Linked DNA regions of Oryzias latipes. The protein of the gene in region 3 interacts with the protein of the main gene of each other region in a biochemical or structural test. Links are inferred from orthologs where the notes say so. Each region holds a gene or a part of one and is shown on either strand. Other genes may lie near its edges. The genes, in order: inpp5d, tyrosine-protein kinase ZAP-70 and shc1.

The links.
Region 1: the proteins of shc1 (region 3) and inpp5d form a complex in vitro, tested with the Homo sapiens proteins (2 studies listed by BioGRID and IntAct, with this or other methods). The link is inferred for Oryzias latipes from reciprocal best matches to the Homo sapiens genes SHC1 and INPP5D.
Region 2: of the proteins of shc1 (region 3) and tyrosine-protein kinase ZAP-70, one has a biochemical effect on the other in vitro, tested with the Homo sapiens proteins (2 studies listed by BioGRID, with this or other methods). The link is inferred for Oryzias latipes from reciprocal best matches to the Homo sapiens genes SHC1 and ZAP70.

The regions. Positions count from the first base shown.
Region 1 is NC_019862.2:27,130,606-27,135,469, reverse strand, and holds part of inpp5d (phosphatidylinositol 3,4,5-trisphosphate 5-phosphatase 1), read right to left. Parts: intron 2,934-4,864; coding exon 2,844-2,933; intron 2,748-2,843; coding exon 2,637-2,747; intron 2,546-2,636; coding exon 2,466-2,545; intron 2,387-2,465; coding exon 2,299-2,386; intron 2,221-2,298; coding exon 2,074-2,220; intron 1,984-2,073; coding exon 1,926-1,983; intron 1,843-1,925; coding exon 1,651-1,842; intron 1,570-1,650; coding exon 1,136-1,569; intron 522-1,135; coding exon 490-521; 3' UTR 1-489. UniProt on the Homo sapiens protein: Phosphatidylinositol (PtdIns) phosphatase that specifically hydrolyzes the 5-phosphate of phosphatidylinositol-3,4,5-trisphosphate (PtdIns(3,4,5)P3) to produce PtdIns(3,4)P2, thereby negatively regulating the PI3K (phosphoinositide 3-kinase) pathways.
Region 2 is NC_019862.2:14,803,469-14,808,332, forward strand, and holds part of tyrosine-protein kinase ZAP-70, read right to left. Parts: intron 3,766-4,864; coding exon 3,605-3,765; intron 3,495-3,604; coding exon 3,356-3,494; intron 3,274-3,355; coding exon 3,192-3,273; intron 3,107-3,191; coding exon 3,084-3,106; intron 3,007-3,083; coding exon 2,973-3,006; intron 2,677-2,972; coding exon 2,505-2,676; intron 2,406-2,504; coding exon 2,199-2,405; intron 1,370-2,198; coding exon 1,177-1,369; exon of another isoform or gene 1,166-1,176; intron 615-1,165; coding exon 474-614; intron 376-473; coding exon 263-375; intron 1-262. UniProt on the Homo sapiens protein: Tyrosine kinase that plays an essential role in regulation of the adaptive immune response. Regulates motility, adhesion and cytokine expression of mature T-cells, as well as thymocyte development.
Region 3 is NC_019874.2:18,329,496-18,334,359, reverse strand, and holds part of shc1 (SHC-transforming protein 1), read left to right. Parts: 5' UTR 1-1,816; coding exon 1,817-2,410; intron 2,411-3,079; coding exon 3,080-3,150; intron 3,151-3,577; coding exon 3,578-3,638; intron 3,639-4,690; coding exon 4,691-4,810; intron 4,811-4,864. UniProt on the Homo sapiens protein: Signaling adapter that couples activated growth factor receptors to signaling pathways. Participates in a signaling cascade initiated by activated KIT and KITLG/SCF.

The DNA.
Region 1 (4,864 bases), on a different chromosome or scaffold from region 3:
AAATTTGTAAAATTAGGCCAGCTGAATCCTCCTACCCAACCCTGCAAGAATTTAACACCATTTTTGCTTCCAAATCAGTCTGAGAAAGTAATCAAGCATTGAGTTGGTTTTCCTGGGTTTCTGACCTGCCTGGAAATGGAAAAATCCAGCTTGTAACCCTGAAGATATTTTTTATTCACACACCTGTGAAGCAAAAACATTTCTTATATTGATTGTTTGACCTTTCCCATCACTGATGTTTTTTCTCTTCTTTTCTTCTTTTGTCTCTGATCTCAGAGAACTCCATCGGCTCATTTGACTGTGGAGTTGGAGGCGGGGTTTATCTGAAGGTCTTTGGTGTGTGGAGGATGGTGCTTTGACTCAGCCGAGGGAGGAGCATCTCTTTAATGGTTCAAGGTGAGAAGTGGCCGAAGCTCTGCCTTTGTGAGTTTGCAGAAATGCAGAGCGGGAAGCTGGTTGGGGCACAACGACCGTCACTGCAGCCTCCTCTCAGTTCCCGGGACGACCCATTTTAGGGGCATCTGGATGCAATATGGGATAAAGAATATTTCATTAATGACCGTGTTGTGTCAAGCTACGTACACGGCAGGCAACTGACTGCAGGTTTTTGAACACGCTTTTACCAAACGGTGTTCGCATTAGACTGTTGCTACTCAATACTAGTGCCTGTACTCAGTTGGTAAAGGTTGGTGTGAAACATCATAGCGGTGCAAATCTTGTGAATCTCGCTCCAGGCTTTTTCTGTTACAGCTCTATTCCGATACATGAAATGTGGGCACAAACTGCAATTATTAATTTCCCCTCCATGGTCAATTTCCAAATGGTTGTCACTTCCATGTTCTGAGAAGGACACTACCTATACAACACTACCAAATCTGAGACCCTGATTGGTCAAAGTTCAACTGGTTTAGCTTTCTGTGCAAGTTATCTTGAAGCATGTTTTTTTAAATAGAGGCCACAAAGTCCCATAAAAACTTGCATAGTGACACGTGAATGCGAGAGTTTTGAACACGGAAGCCCAAAAACGTGTATTCGCGTTTACATAAACGTTTGCTTGGAAGTTGCCGCTTGAGAGGAGATTTTCGAGCCCGGTGTGAGCCTAGCCTTAAGGTTCAAATAGAAGCCATTTCCTTACTGTCTTTGTGAGGCTGGGCGGGTCTCGCCGGTGCTCTGTTTTTGTTGTGGATGTCCGAGAAGTCCCTGTAGTCTCTGGATTTTGGGGCCTGGGGCTCTGGCCGAGACTTTGCCGGCAGGGGAGGGCGGCTGGGTGCTGTCCCGCCCTCCGAACGCGAGGGCACCACTGGTTTCTTCTGCAGTGTCGGGAGCAGGTTGATGGGGGTCGGGTGCTGGGGTTTGTTCTCAGAGCAGGTGTAGGAGCGGTTTCGAGGGGTGGGCAGAGGCGGGCGCTCAAGCTCAAGATCTGCTGCTTTGGAGGACGACTGGGGGGGATCTCCAGGGGTGAGGTGGTCGGTCTGCGAATGGCCCTGCTCCTTTCCCCGGCCGTGCGTTTTTACCATTGAACCGTAGAGTGGGTTGTCAAACATCTCTGACACTGGTTCATCCGCCCCCCTAGAGAAGACAGCAGCCAGTAGGATTTGGTTTAGTGCCCGTTTGAGTTTCGGTTTTCAGAGCTTTTCATCAGATACTCACACTGAGGACACCTTAGCTGTGGGGCTCAAATCAAAACCAGCCTTCTTGGACTCTTTGCCCATTTGTCCAGCAGCGTCTGGCCCTCGGTTGAGCATGTTGTAACTCCAACCCTTTTCTTTTACGTTCCCAACTTTGAAAGACAGTCCCATGTAGCTGGGGTTTGAAATATCATGTGTCTGTGCCATGGCAGACCTGTTCTCAAAAGAAGGAAACACACGTCCCTGCTAGAAATGAAATGTCCCATTTTATATGACGACAAAGGAAAAATATCTCACTTGTCTCCTCCTTTGCCTTTGAAAGGGACAGCATCATCCCGCTCAACTTTGATAAAATCTGAAAGCAGAAGGAAATCAATGGGATTGTTGTCAGACTCCTTGAAAAAGACCGTCATTGATTCATCCAGGAGGCGATCTCCAGCCTCACCGTATAACTTCTCGGTGGGTTTTCCCTCTGAGGTGTGTAACTGGATGCCACCTGTCAGAGTTCCCGTCTTTTCTCCGTGGTGAGTCAGTGTGATCTGAAACTCTCGGTAGCAGAACTGTGCAGCCCGCAGCGCCACACAACCCTCTCCTTCATGAATGAAAACATCCACAGGATTGTGAACGACGTTTCACTCAGCACAAACCAAAGTTTCCAACCACTTCTTACCGTACGACTCATCGGAGTCTACTGATTTTACGCAGATGAGGATGTGCTGGTCCAAGAGGTACTCGGGGTCAGAGATGATGGGAGTGAGCTTGGATGGAAAGGGCAAACAAAATCACAGCTGATGCTGAAACAGAAATGCTTCTCTGCTCTGAAAAACTCAGATTTACCTCAACTTGGTTGCCAAATGTGACTTTTATGGAGCCGTCAGACTGTTCCGTGTTCTCCCCTTCTTTAGTCTTCGTACTCTCTGCCAGAGAAATCAAAGGAGACCATCAAGGTCATCTTCAGTCGAGCAAAAGAGAATACTCCAGAGAATAGGTCAAAGGTCGTAATCTCACTCTCCAAGCAGCTGGAATGAAACTCAATGAAGAACTTGGTCTTTGCTTTAGTCAACAAAACAGCAACGCAGTTCATGATTTGTATTCCTCCTTGACTTTCAGTGTTCGGATCTGAGGAACAGAAAACAGAAAAAAATCAGATCGAGGCTTTGAAGTGTCTGAAGTTTTTTTTTTTTTTTTTTTTTTGTAGTTGAATCCTGAACTTGCCTTGTTTGGAGACAAACTGTGAAGCGACTCCGACTTCAAACGAGGCAAAAACAGGTGAGTGGTCACTTGTCATGATGTCATTAGTGCAACCTGCAGGTGAGATAGATGTTTAGCGGAGCATTTCACCAAATATGGACAAAAAACAAGCCTCTTTAAAAGAGAAGCTCTGCTTTGGAGAACAGGGGAAGCCTTGGCCACACATTGAGCTTTTCCTCTGGAACATAGAATTAAATATGTATGGTCTAAGTCTGCTAAAATTTACAGAGATAGTTGAGCTCTTGTGCATTTAGTACCTCAAAATCAAAACCGGTTTAAGCTGCTTTGACTTCTATGCTGCACACAGATGAATGCAGCCTCTTGTTGGGTTCATACTAAATACTTTGGTGTCTCCTGGTGTGTTTGTTCTTTGTTTTATTAAAATGACTTTCACTGTATGATACAAAAGGTTAATGCGTTTCATAAAGCCCCATCATTTGCCTCTGTATAAAAGGTTCTATACAAATAACTCCAACTCTGGTCCCTATTTCCCTATTGCTAAAATGAGACTAAAAGGAAAGTACAGAAGTGAAAGGTCTGTGGAAAATTCTTTGGCTGGGAAAGTGGAAGTGTTAAAATGGTAAATGGCTTACACTTGTATAGCCCCTTTTGACCTTTCTCGAAGGTCAAAAGCGCTTTGCAGTCACAGTAACATTCACCCATTCACACACGATGCCGAACACTGGCGCCAACCTTCCAACAGAGGCAAGGTGGAATTGAGTGTCTTCCCCGAGGACACTTATGACAAATGCGGGCATGGTGTGAATCGTACCTGCAATCTTTGTCAGTGCAATCGTCAGAGGTCGACCGCCCTACCGCTGTACCGACGTGTGGTCAGTGACATGGTTATAGTACTAGTCTAGTTTTTTATTTCCCCCCATTACTTTGTTTTCACCTGGTTGTGGTTGCGTTTGGTCAAGTTCTGACTTTTGTCTCTTGAAAAGTTTTCAGTCATGTATGAGTTTATTTTTTTATGAATGCTGAGTAGCATTTTTCTAACCCTTGTGAAGGTTTTTGGCAGGTAAAATCTTCTGCACATCTCAGTCCAAACCCTTTCCTGCAGCTTGATTCATCTTTACACAGAAGCTTGATTGTTATCAGAGACTTGTCCACGCGAATGTCCTGTGACAACCCCACCAAAATGTTCAACTTTCAATGAAAAAAAAAAGCAGTCAATCATCAAGACAGAGTACAGGATGAAAATGAAGCCTTAGCTCCTGTACTAACAATAGAGGTGAGCAACATCCACATTCTGGCAAAGGAAAAATGCAAATTGTATTTCTGTGTACCAACCTAAAAACTGACACTCATTTGCCTGAAACGTTCAGCATCAAAGGCACAAACCAAGTAGCTTTGCTCACGGATTTATTGTTTTAATCTTTTTGTCTCACCAAATTCTAACACCTGCCTTTTTAAGGGGGCAGGCAGACCAACATCACCTCACACTGAAGATTAAATGATGATTAATTAGAACGGGTCAAATTTAAACAGATTCATGACAGTGCCAGCAGATACATCACATCTATTCTGAATAAATTCTCAGCATGCTACGTTTGACTCTGCGAGTCCTCTGCAACTCTGGACTCTGTGTAACCTGGTGCTACCATGAGCCTGCAAACACAGAGTACTTCATAATCTACAGGTCTGTAAATGAATGCAAATGCATTTAAATTCTGCTGATCTATGGTCTGATATGATTCAAAGAGAAAGACAGTGTTAGACTTTCAGAAGAACCTAACTAAACCTGTTCATCCATTCTGAACCTGCTAAATCTCTTCAGAGGTCATGGGGCTGCTGGATCCATCCCAGCTGCAGGGGAGCAAAGGCAGGGCACAATTTTGAGACACCAATTGACCCATGAAGCACGTTTGTGGACCATGGGGGCAACCCAGAGTACATTGATAGAACGGGTGCATGTGCAGAGTTATTAATATGTTAACTCTGCACATGCACATCCAGCAGCCCCATGACCTCTGAAGAGATTT
Region 2 (4,864 bases), on a different chromosome or scaffold from region 3:
TATTCTGTTTAAAGTAAAGTTTTGTAAAACAAATGTATATTTCATTTTCTAATGTCAGAAGGTTATTTTTGGTCATGTTATATGACACAAAGTTTGCTTACGTTACATCATGTTCTTCCAGTTTCCAGTCTTAGTTTTTTACGGCTAAAACCACAATAGAAAACTATTTTATGTCAAACATTGTATTTTTTAATCAACTCTTGGCCTCATTCTTGGCATGTGAGAGGATAAATGAGTTTACAGGTAACATTGGGATTCTCACCTGTACGTCCAACACTCCATCATCACTGCATACATCCTGTCTGGACAGGCTGGTGGTTTCTCCATGCGGTTTCCATTTTTAATGAAGCTGATCACTTCTGGACCTTTCATTTTCTGGGTTGAGGGGAAAAGAGATAAATCTCCTGCATCAGTGTGTCTGTCCACTGGTGGGATGTAAGAGTTAAAGGTCTGCTCTGCAGAACCACCCTCACCTTGTAGGGTTTTCCTCCATAGGTGAAGGCCTCCCACATGGTGACGCCAAAACTCCACACGTCACTTTTACTGGAGAATTTGTGGAAGTTTATGCACTCTGGAGCGTACCATTTCAGTGGCCATTTGCCTGCAGTTCGAGCCTGTAAACACACAATATGAGGAGGCGTCACTGCCGATAGTCTGAGGCTAAAATACACGTATTTAGCCAAAAAGGTTGTTCCTGTAATTGGTTTAAATTTATTTTACTAACATTTAAGACCCAGACATATCTGCTTTACCCTGTTCAGGGTCTTAGGGGGAGGGGCTCCTGCCCTAGATGTGATGGAGGATTTATTTGTGCTTCAGTAACTTTTTATTTCCTCGTTTTTCTTATTGATGGTCGTATTTATTTGGGTTAATAATAACAGTAACGTATAGGACAAGCACACACTGAAAACTGTGGGGGAAAGCTAACAAATATATATTTAGTTATTGTTAAAAATGGGTGCTAACCTCAGTTTTTTTTTTCGTTTAAACACAGAGAAACAAAATTGATGGCAGTTTTTAATGACTAAAAAATACTGACTAACATAAACATTATCGCTGTATTGCATGCTTTGTATCTAGAAATACAAATTAATTTAGACTTTTACATTTTTGAGCAGTATGTTTACGTGTTTTAGCACAATAATGATAAAAAAAAAGCAGCTACATCATGAATACTTTGTAATAGTTGTCATCTGCTCCCAAGGCTTTGGAGAGCCCAAAGTCACTGATCTTGGCAAATTGTTGGTTAACCAGCAGGACGTTTCGAGCAGCCAAATCTCTGTGAACAAAATTCTTCTCTTCCAGATACTTCATCCCCATCGACACTTGGTGCAGTAAGTTCACAATGTTCTCCACGGTTATAACATCTCTGTGGGGACAAAACAGAAACATCCATGCCAAGTGAAAAAAGTAAGTATGTGAGGTGAAAACTACTTTTTGAATGTTTGCATTTGTCTATTTTTGTCACTTTCGTATTAAAAGCAATGCAAAAAAAAAAAAGCAAAAAGCAAATTATGAGTAATGTAACACTATATTGTGCTTCTTAGGAGCTAAAAATCAATCTACATATTTTCATATGTGCTTAAGTTCCAATATCCCCTGTGCTCATCGATGCAGAAATGCTTTTTTTCCTCAAAATTACACAGTGACTACAAAGAAATGACATTTGAGATGTTGGATGGAGAGATGAGCAATGCAACAAGCCCCACACAGGTGCATTTATTTGTATGTTCCACATTAAGCTGTTGCCATCCAAGAAAAAAAGGTTACTTAACATCAGGTTTGATTGGTTTGTGGTTAGGATTGAGCATCCAGATTCAGGTGTTCAAGCAAACCAACGGAATAATTGAAAAACAATTTAAAAGTTAGAAAACTTTGAATTCATTGATACATTTTAAGGTAGGGCTGCATTGTGGTACAGTGGTTATCTCCCTCGTCTCACAGTGAGAAGGCTTTGGGTCAAATCCTGCGTGGAGGTTGCATGTTGTTCCTGTGCACGTGTGCGTTTTCTCTGGGATCTCTGGCTTCTTCCCAAATGGATAGATGGATTTCAATGTAGTTTTGTCTTTATTTTTTAAGTAGTTTGTTGATCCACCCAAATGGGGGAGGATAAAGATTCAGTGTGAAATATACCTTTTTTACGAACTGTTCTGAACAGCAAACTCCACCATCAGATGTCATCCTGAACATTTACTCACTTCTTGGTAGAGAGAAACTTATTGAGAGGACCAGCAGCGGCCATCTCCATGACGAGCATCAGATTGTCGCCTTGGCACAGGCCCAGCATGCGGACGATGAAGGGGTTACTCAGCTGGTGCATGATCTCTGCCTCTCTCATCATCTCATCTTTCACCAGCTTCTCATTTTCACTCTTCAGCACTTTGACGGCCACGTCTACATGACCTCTGTGACCAGACAAAAAAAAAAAAGGCGCAGGAGCAAATCAGTGTCAGGTTGCAAAACTTCAAACCAGCTTTTCACTTTTCTTGACGTTTAAATCTTACGATTTTGTTATCAAGACTCCCTTCTTGACGGAGCCAAAGTTGCCAGAGCCGAGCTCGACCTCGTCCATCAGCAGCTGATCCCTACTGATGTTAAACTTCTTGATGTCATTTGGGTCGTGGTAGGGGTTGAATCCGGCAAAGTCCATGGGCAGAGCATCAGCTGAAACTGTAGCTGCACAACTACTCATTATTTTATTTGGAAAGAATCAAATTACATGATCACACTACTTAACACTTAATTCCACCTTCTGGGGCTCTCCAAGTTAGAAGTTTTGCCACAGCAATAATTTTACAAAGCCTTATAAATAGTGTTACTTTTCAACTATTCTCACTTATTACTAAACTTCTCAAATAAACATTTAAAATTATTATTAACATAGATAAATCCATAAACACAAAAATAATCATAAAAGTGATAAGATCTTTTGTTCTGTATTGGTGCATTCTGCTGTACTGTCAGCAACTGACCTTTAGGTGGCGGTGTGTATCCATTTGATCTCCTCTGAAAGAAAAGGGGGGGGAAAATGAAGCTGGGAGCATGTCAAGCATGCTGATTGAAGCATAAAGGCCAACACTTACCATTGCAGGAACATTGGGCATTTCTGAAATGTTGCAAAAAAGATTAGAATTAAGTTTAGTCACAACAATGTCAGAGAATCATGACATTTAAGGAAAATGGTTCAGTACGTTCAGAAACTCTGCCGTTGGTGCACGCCTCTCCAAGGACAATTACCAGCCCATCAGGTTTCATCTTCAGATACTCAACCAGCTGTGGAAAAAAAGGGAACCACATTCTTTTAATTCAATGCTGCAGAGTGATGCCGAAACGTAGAGAAAAACAGGGTTCCCACCTGCCAGAGTGTGTCAAACTTGGTCCCTTCAGGTACAGACAACTTCCCTGATTTGTCTTGGACAATCTGATAGTGGTAAACTGTTTTCCCGTACACTACAGAAAGAGCAAAGGTCCCGGGTTCGTCTCTTTCTCTGACTCTGAGAAACAAAACCAAAGAAAACGCAGCAAAGTCTCAAATATTTCCTTAGCTTTTGGAAAAAAAAACAGGCACTGAAGTCAATGCAGAGGTGCACACGTCACAACTTACAGAAACTTCCCGTCTGGTTGTGCTCCAGAGTAAAGACGCCTCTCTCCTTCGTGGCGGTTGATTTTACCGTGAAACCAAGGCATCTTCTCGTGAGCTGTTGTGGCGATCAGCTTTTCCAGCTGAGGAGCTTGACTGATGATGGCCTGCTCCATGGCCTCCCCCTGCATGGATACACAAAGCTCCAGAGATCCAACATGCTACATACGAAATCTTTTTACATTTTTTCCTCCCATATTCTGTTTCTGCACGTTCACATCACAACTTGCAACCATCGGTAAGCTTTCAGAGTCAGCAAACCTACATTGGGCCTGCATTGCGGTAAAAGGTGGGATGTTTGGCAAAACAAGTTGAGCCTGCAAACAACTGGAACTTGTTTGACTGTTTAACTAGAGCCCATAAAAGGTGCCAGTCTGCTTCAGATTGGTCGCAGCAGGAGGGATGATGTTGAAACTAGACAGTGTGTAACACATTAAAGTGAATCAAAGCTAAGTGTCTTAAGCTACAGGGGAGGTACAATTTGTCCAAACTGACCCTTTCTTTGTTCCTATTTTCTTTAAAAAAATCTTGTATCCTTAAATTGCCTTAATTTTTGAGTGTGTTAGTGCAGGCACAACGCTTAAACATACTTTTAGAATGAACAGAAACAGTAGAGTTAGTTCTGTTTGACTTTCTTGACAGAAAAAGGGTGGTTTAAATTTTAAAAAGTGCTAGAATATTAAATTGATTGATTAAGATGGCAGGAGTTTGAAAAGCATGGCATCCGTTTCTTTTTGGAGACAATTTTAGCTGCAAGATGGTTGAAATCCACAAAATTTAAAACAGTATCACCCGGTTTTACAGTTTTAATTTTTACATCTTTACACGATGTCTAAAATGTTTCCTTTTTGTCTATCTATCTATCAATGCTAAAGTTCAATTTTGAAATTTTTGACAGTTTTTCCAGACTGAGATAAAGCATTTTATCCATTAATGAACTAAAAAAGAAAAAAAATAGATGATACAAACTGTTCTTTTATTAAATATTAAAAATTTTTTTTTCCATTTTTAATATTTTTTTGTCTCCCAAAGAATCCTAAGAGACAATTTCTTTTTTTTTTTGACTGATCTTGATAATGGCACTGAAGTATGTCCATGTGTGTGTAAAATGTTCCTGTTGCCTTTTCAACAACAGTGATGTTACTTTTCTGTTTTCTCAAGCCCTACCTAGAAATTGATCAAATAGTTTAAAGTTTTTCCACTTTGGGCCGGATTAATGTATAA
Region 3 (4,864 bases):
AGATGACAGCAGCTGGCACTGGGTTAACAACAAAGGTCAGTTCTATTTGAGCTTCTTTCGAACCCAGATGAGTGAGTTCATCTTCAGCACTGATGAGCTCTCACTTTGCTGAAGCTGGATTATGAGATCAAACCTGACAAATCAGGTTTCATTACCATCACAACGAGCCCACCAGTAGTGTTCATCAGCCAATGACCCACATTCTCCCGTGTTACATCACCACCTTGGTGCTGCAGTGTCTGTCACTGTACCAGTCAGACAACATCTCCCAGGAGGCCTACCAAGATTCAATGGTGCTCAAGGAATAAACAGAAAAAAAAGAACAACAAAAAAAAAAAAGTGAAACTTGGTGGTCATTTTTAGGGAACACACTTAAACAAAAGCAGGCTCTTTTGTTTTTAGCCATATCAGGTACCTCTGTCAGGAACCGGCTCCGCTCTGCGAGTCCAGTCTTAAAAACAAACTTTTGTTTGGTTTTTCTTTGTTTTTCTATGGGTGTCTGTAATGACCATGTCTAGCCTCTAGCCATCCCAAAACCTTAAGTTCAAAAGGCATTCAGACGGGACTCACTTGTATTTTTTGAGTGAGGTTCTGTTAAACGGGACAGCCTGGAGAACGGGCGAGCCATCGAGGGAGGGGGAGAGGGGGCGCGAGAGATCATTTGGAAAAGAAGAGAGGAAGTGGTGGCGCAAGAGAGGGCGGAGGCGCTGGAGAGACAGAGGCTGGCAGAGTACATTGTGTGGAGGAGGAGAGAGGACTTCCAGGACAAGAAAGGAGACGGAGAGAAGGGGGGAAAGAGCACCGAAAAAGGAAAAGAGGCTTCACCAGAGGTCATCTGGAAGAGGAGAGAAGACGAAGAAGGAGACGCAGGAAGGGAGAGGGCCAAAGCCATTCAGAGAGGACATGAAATCATTTGGAGGAAGAGGGAGAGAGAGTAAAACAGGACCCGATGACACATTTGAGGGTGTCATGTTCATGAAAAGTAGCTGCTGAAGAAGCTGTTGCTACTGCTGACACAAAACTCTGACGCTAGTTGAGAGCAGGAACCCTCCTCTCTTCTCCGGCAGGTACCTGCTGTATTATTGACCAGTTAAAGTTTTGGATGATGTCTGCACAGCCCTTCTTCTAATCCCTGTTTTGGCTCCTAATGGGATTTTTAAGCATTTTTTATGGGCCTCTGTCAAGCAGGATACGACTGCCAAGCGGAGCTGCATTACACATGTGCATGTCATCATTGCGGACTGGCAAGGTTTCCAGCACCTCGTGCATGTAGTCATATCGCATTCAAGTGCACAGCTTTGGTTCCGGAAAAACAGGCATTCCGAGTGACAGGAACTTGTGGGGACTCTCTAATGACAGCTTTAAAACTGGCTCTCACTCAGGGATGGTTATGTTGGAAGGAAATACTCACTGATTGTTTTACATCATGGGAGAACACCGAGAAAGAACTGTGGAGCTGAGAGTTCGTCTTCATTAGTCCTGGGAAATCAAACAAATCACAAAAGGATTGAACCAACATGAGCTGTACAAGTCTTGAATGAGACGTTTTCTTTTTGTCTGATTATCTGGGACATCCCACTTCTCTGGACCTCTTCTCATTCTGCATTCACTGTGGACAGAGTTGTAGTTGAAGCAGTTTGGTTTGGCTGCCTCACAATGACTGTAGGACGGACAATCAGATGCAGCAACATGGATGCAGCTCAAATCATGAGCAAGACGTGCAAATGGGTTTGTCTTTTCAGAGAAAAACTTTAGTTTGACAGACACTTTGATCCACTACAGCCTTGGCATCAAAAACTCTCTCTGCAGGATCAATATGGAGCTTGTGCCCAAAACTAAATACACCCACTTTCGGAGTGAGTCGCTGAGTTCAAACGATGACACCAACTCCAATCCATCGTCGTTCCCTCCTTCCAGTCCTGCCACCCCTTTGACCCCCTCCCCTGGTATACCTTCTTCTCTTTCCTCCTCGTCTCTCACTCCTATTTTGCCCCCCACCTCTCCCCGTCCGGCAGAAAACAGTCCCACCACCCTCTGCTCCTTCTTCCCAAGGATGAGTTCCCTTCGTCTGGGTGTCACTGCTACTCTTCTTCCAGGACTCAAGGCCTCAAGCAGGTCACAGCCATCTCAGCTGGCTGTGGAGTCCTCTGGGGACGATAGGAGCAACTCTAGCTCCTCCCCTCCTCTTCACCAACCTGCTCCCCTCCTAACCGCCCCCTCTCCCCCTCCCCGACCTCCTCTGCAGGACATGAACCGGCTTGGAGGGGCGTCCAGGAGGGCACGGGTGGAAGGTGGGCAGCTGGGAGGAGACGAATGGACACGGCATGGCTCCTTCGTCAACAAGCCTACCCGTGGCTGGCTCCACTCTGACAGTGTGGTCAGCACCACTGGTGTTTCTTACACTGTAACAGTAAGTACACTCTCATCAACCTCTGTCTTATGCTATGTACACACTGGGAATGTGATGCACATTCAAGAATGCGCTAAACAGGCATACTTGAATGTGCTTTTGGCATATGGAGTTCACACTGGACTGTCGCAACCCGATACTCGCGCATGTACTTGCAGTTAGAAGAAGCTTGGTGCAAAAAGGTCCCAGCAGTGCAAATCTCGCAAATCTTTGGGTTAACAACTCTATTCCCACATGTGAAAGACTTGGTATCACATAATTCCGACCCGGCACAAACGGGTCATTATTAATTTTTCCTTCATGATACATTTTCAAACGGTTGGCCTCTGAAAATTGAAAATGATGTTACCCACACACCACTACCAAATCCGAGTCCTCAAAGTTCAATTGGTTTAACTTTCATTTAATGAACGTGGAGCCCGAAAACGGACTTAAAAACTGAATAGCTATGCGTGAACATGAAAGTTTTTTTAAGCCTTAAATGAGAATATACGCACATTTAAATGGATTGAAAGGGGCAGCTTGAACGCGTGTTTCCGAGCCCGATTTGAACGTACAGACAGACACTGTCCCTCTTTCCAATCTGGAGTGTAGAGGAAAATAACTTTTTCTGTCTTGCGTGCCGGAAATGTCTAATGTGAACGAGTTGCTTTCCTGTTTCCTGAGCAGTACATGGGTTGTGTAGAGGTGCTACAGTCAATGCGGGCGCTGGACTTCAACACCAGAACACAAGTCACCAGGTGAGACTTTTCACTGGCCTCTGCTGGCTTTCGTCTTTATTTATCACAGGTCATGAGGGGATAACGTGTCTCAAGGTGTTGGGTCTGTAAATTCACTATTATATTAGTCATGTTCTCTATTCTGCTTCCTCTCCATTTACCTACTTTTTTTGTGCTATTTTTTCACTGGTCATATATGGGTGTGTTTTTTTTATACAGCCCTTCTGTTTTCTTTAGAACTTAAATTAGAAAGTGCTGCAGTCCCAGTGGTTTCCTTTTGGTTTCTGCAGAAATGTTTGTGTCTGTGGCAAAGAGGAGTAAAAACAGCACAGACTGGGAGTTCTAAACCCCAGCTGCCAGCTCTCGTTTTATGTACACAAATGTGTGAGCAGGAAGGTGTTGAGAAATATTGCATAATTCCCTAATAGTTGTGTTTTTCTTGTTTCAGGGAAGCTATCGCTGTGGTGTGTGAGGCAGTACCCGGAGCCAAAGGCGCCCGCCGAAGAAAGGTTCATACTACACACATCAACACAACCCTACAGGCCATTATTTATTTATAACGCAGAAGTGGACAGCAGTGGAAATTGGTTTTTTTTCTGGCTAAGACCTCGATTTACCTCGATTGTCTATTTTATGGTCAGTTGGCCAGTCAGTCACATGCTATCTCGTAAACACACACACACACATTTTTGCATTTGGGCAGCCAGCCCAAAACTAAAAATGATTTCCAATCCTAAAGCAAACAATACGCTGACTGTCCAAACCAATGCTTGTTTTCCATGGAACTGTACCAATGGCTTCCCTGGAATTCTTTTTGTTTTTGCGTAAGCGCACAAAGAGCTTGATTTAAGATAATTGTGCACTTGTGTGGTGAGTGAGCCACTTGCAGGTAATTACCAATCACTATAGGTCTCTTTTCTCCCTCTCCCGTGCCACAGGGGAGGCTTGTGGGGAGCCAGTGTCCGGCTTAAGAAGCACTATGGATTAGCAAACGCAGCCTCCAAACGCTGTGTCTGTAAAACTAAAAGCATCCACCCAAACAGTCTATAAAGCTGTTCGGTCTGCTTGCAAAACTGGGTTTGACCAGTGAATTACTGGCAGTCTACTATTCCAGACAAAAAAATGCTAAAATATGATGACTGCAATAGATAAAACTAGTCACTTCTGCCTTTTTTTTAGGTTACTGTGGCTAAGCATGAGCTGCTTTTCTCAGCATTTTCCAAATATTCTGGAGCAAATTTGGATGAAAGCTGTGAGAACAGGAGGTGGATTGGAGTTGATGAGTTGGCACAATTGTTTTGGCCTGGCCCATGTGATATTCATTGTCAAGCCTAAATTATGTGATCTGGCCTCCCTCACAGGCGTCATTGGCTTTAGAGACCAGATCATTCTTTGGAGTTGCAGTAACCGTCTCACTCCCACACTCAAAAGCATTTACTCATTTATTTCCACAGATATGTATCCAGCTCTCATTCACTCTTATTAATGTTAGTTTCACCAAATAAAATCAGCTTGTGATTTAGTAAAGTTCTTTCTTGCTTTGTGTTGCTCTTCTTCACAGCCTTCCTCTCGGTGTCTCACATCAATTCTGGGAAAGAGTAACTTGCAGTTTGCAGGCATGCCAATCAGCCTCACCATCTCAACCAGCAGCCTAAACCTGCTAGCTTCTGACTGCAAACAGGTTAGACTGCTATCACATTTTCTGGCTCTCTCAAAGTGTTATGCTGACTATTGA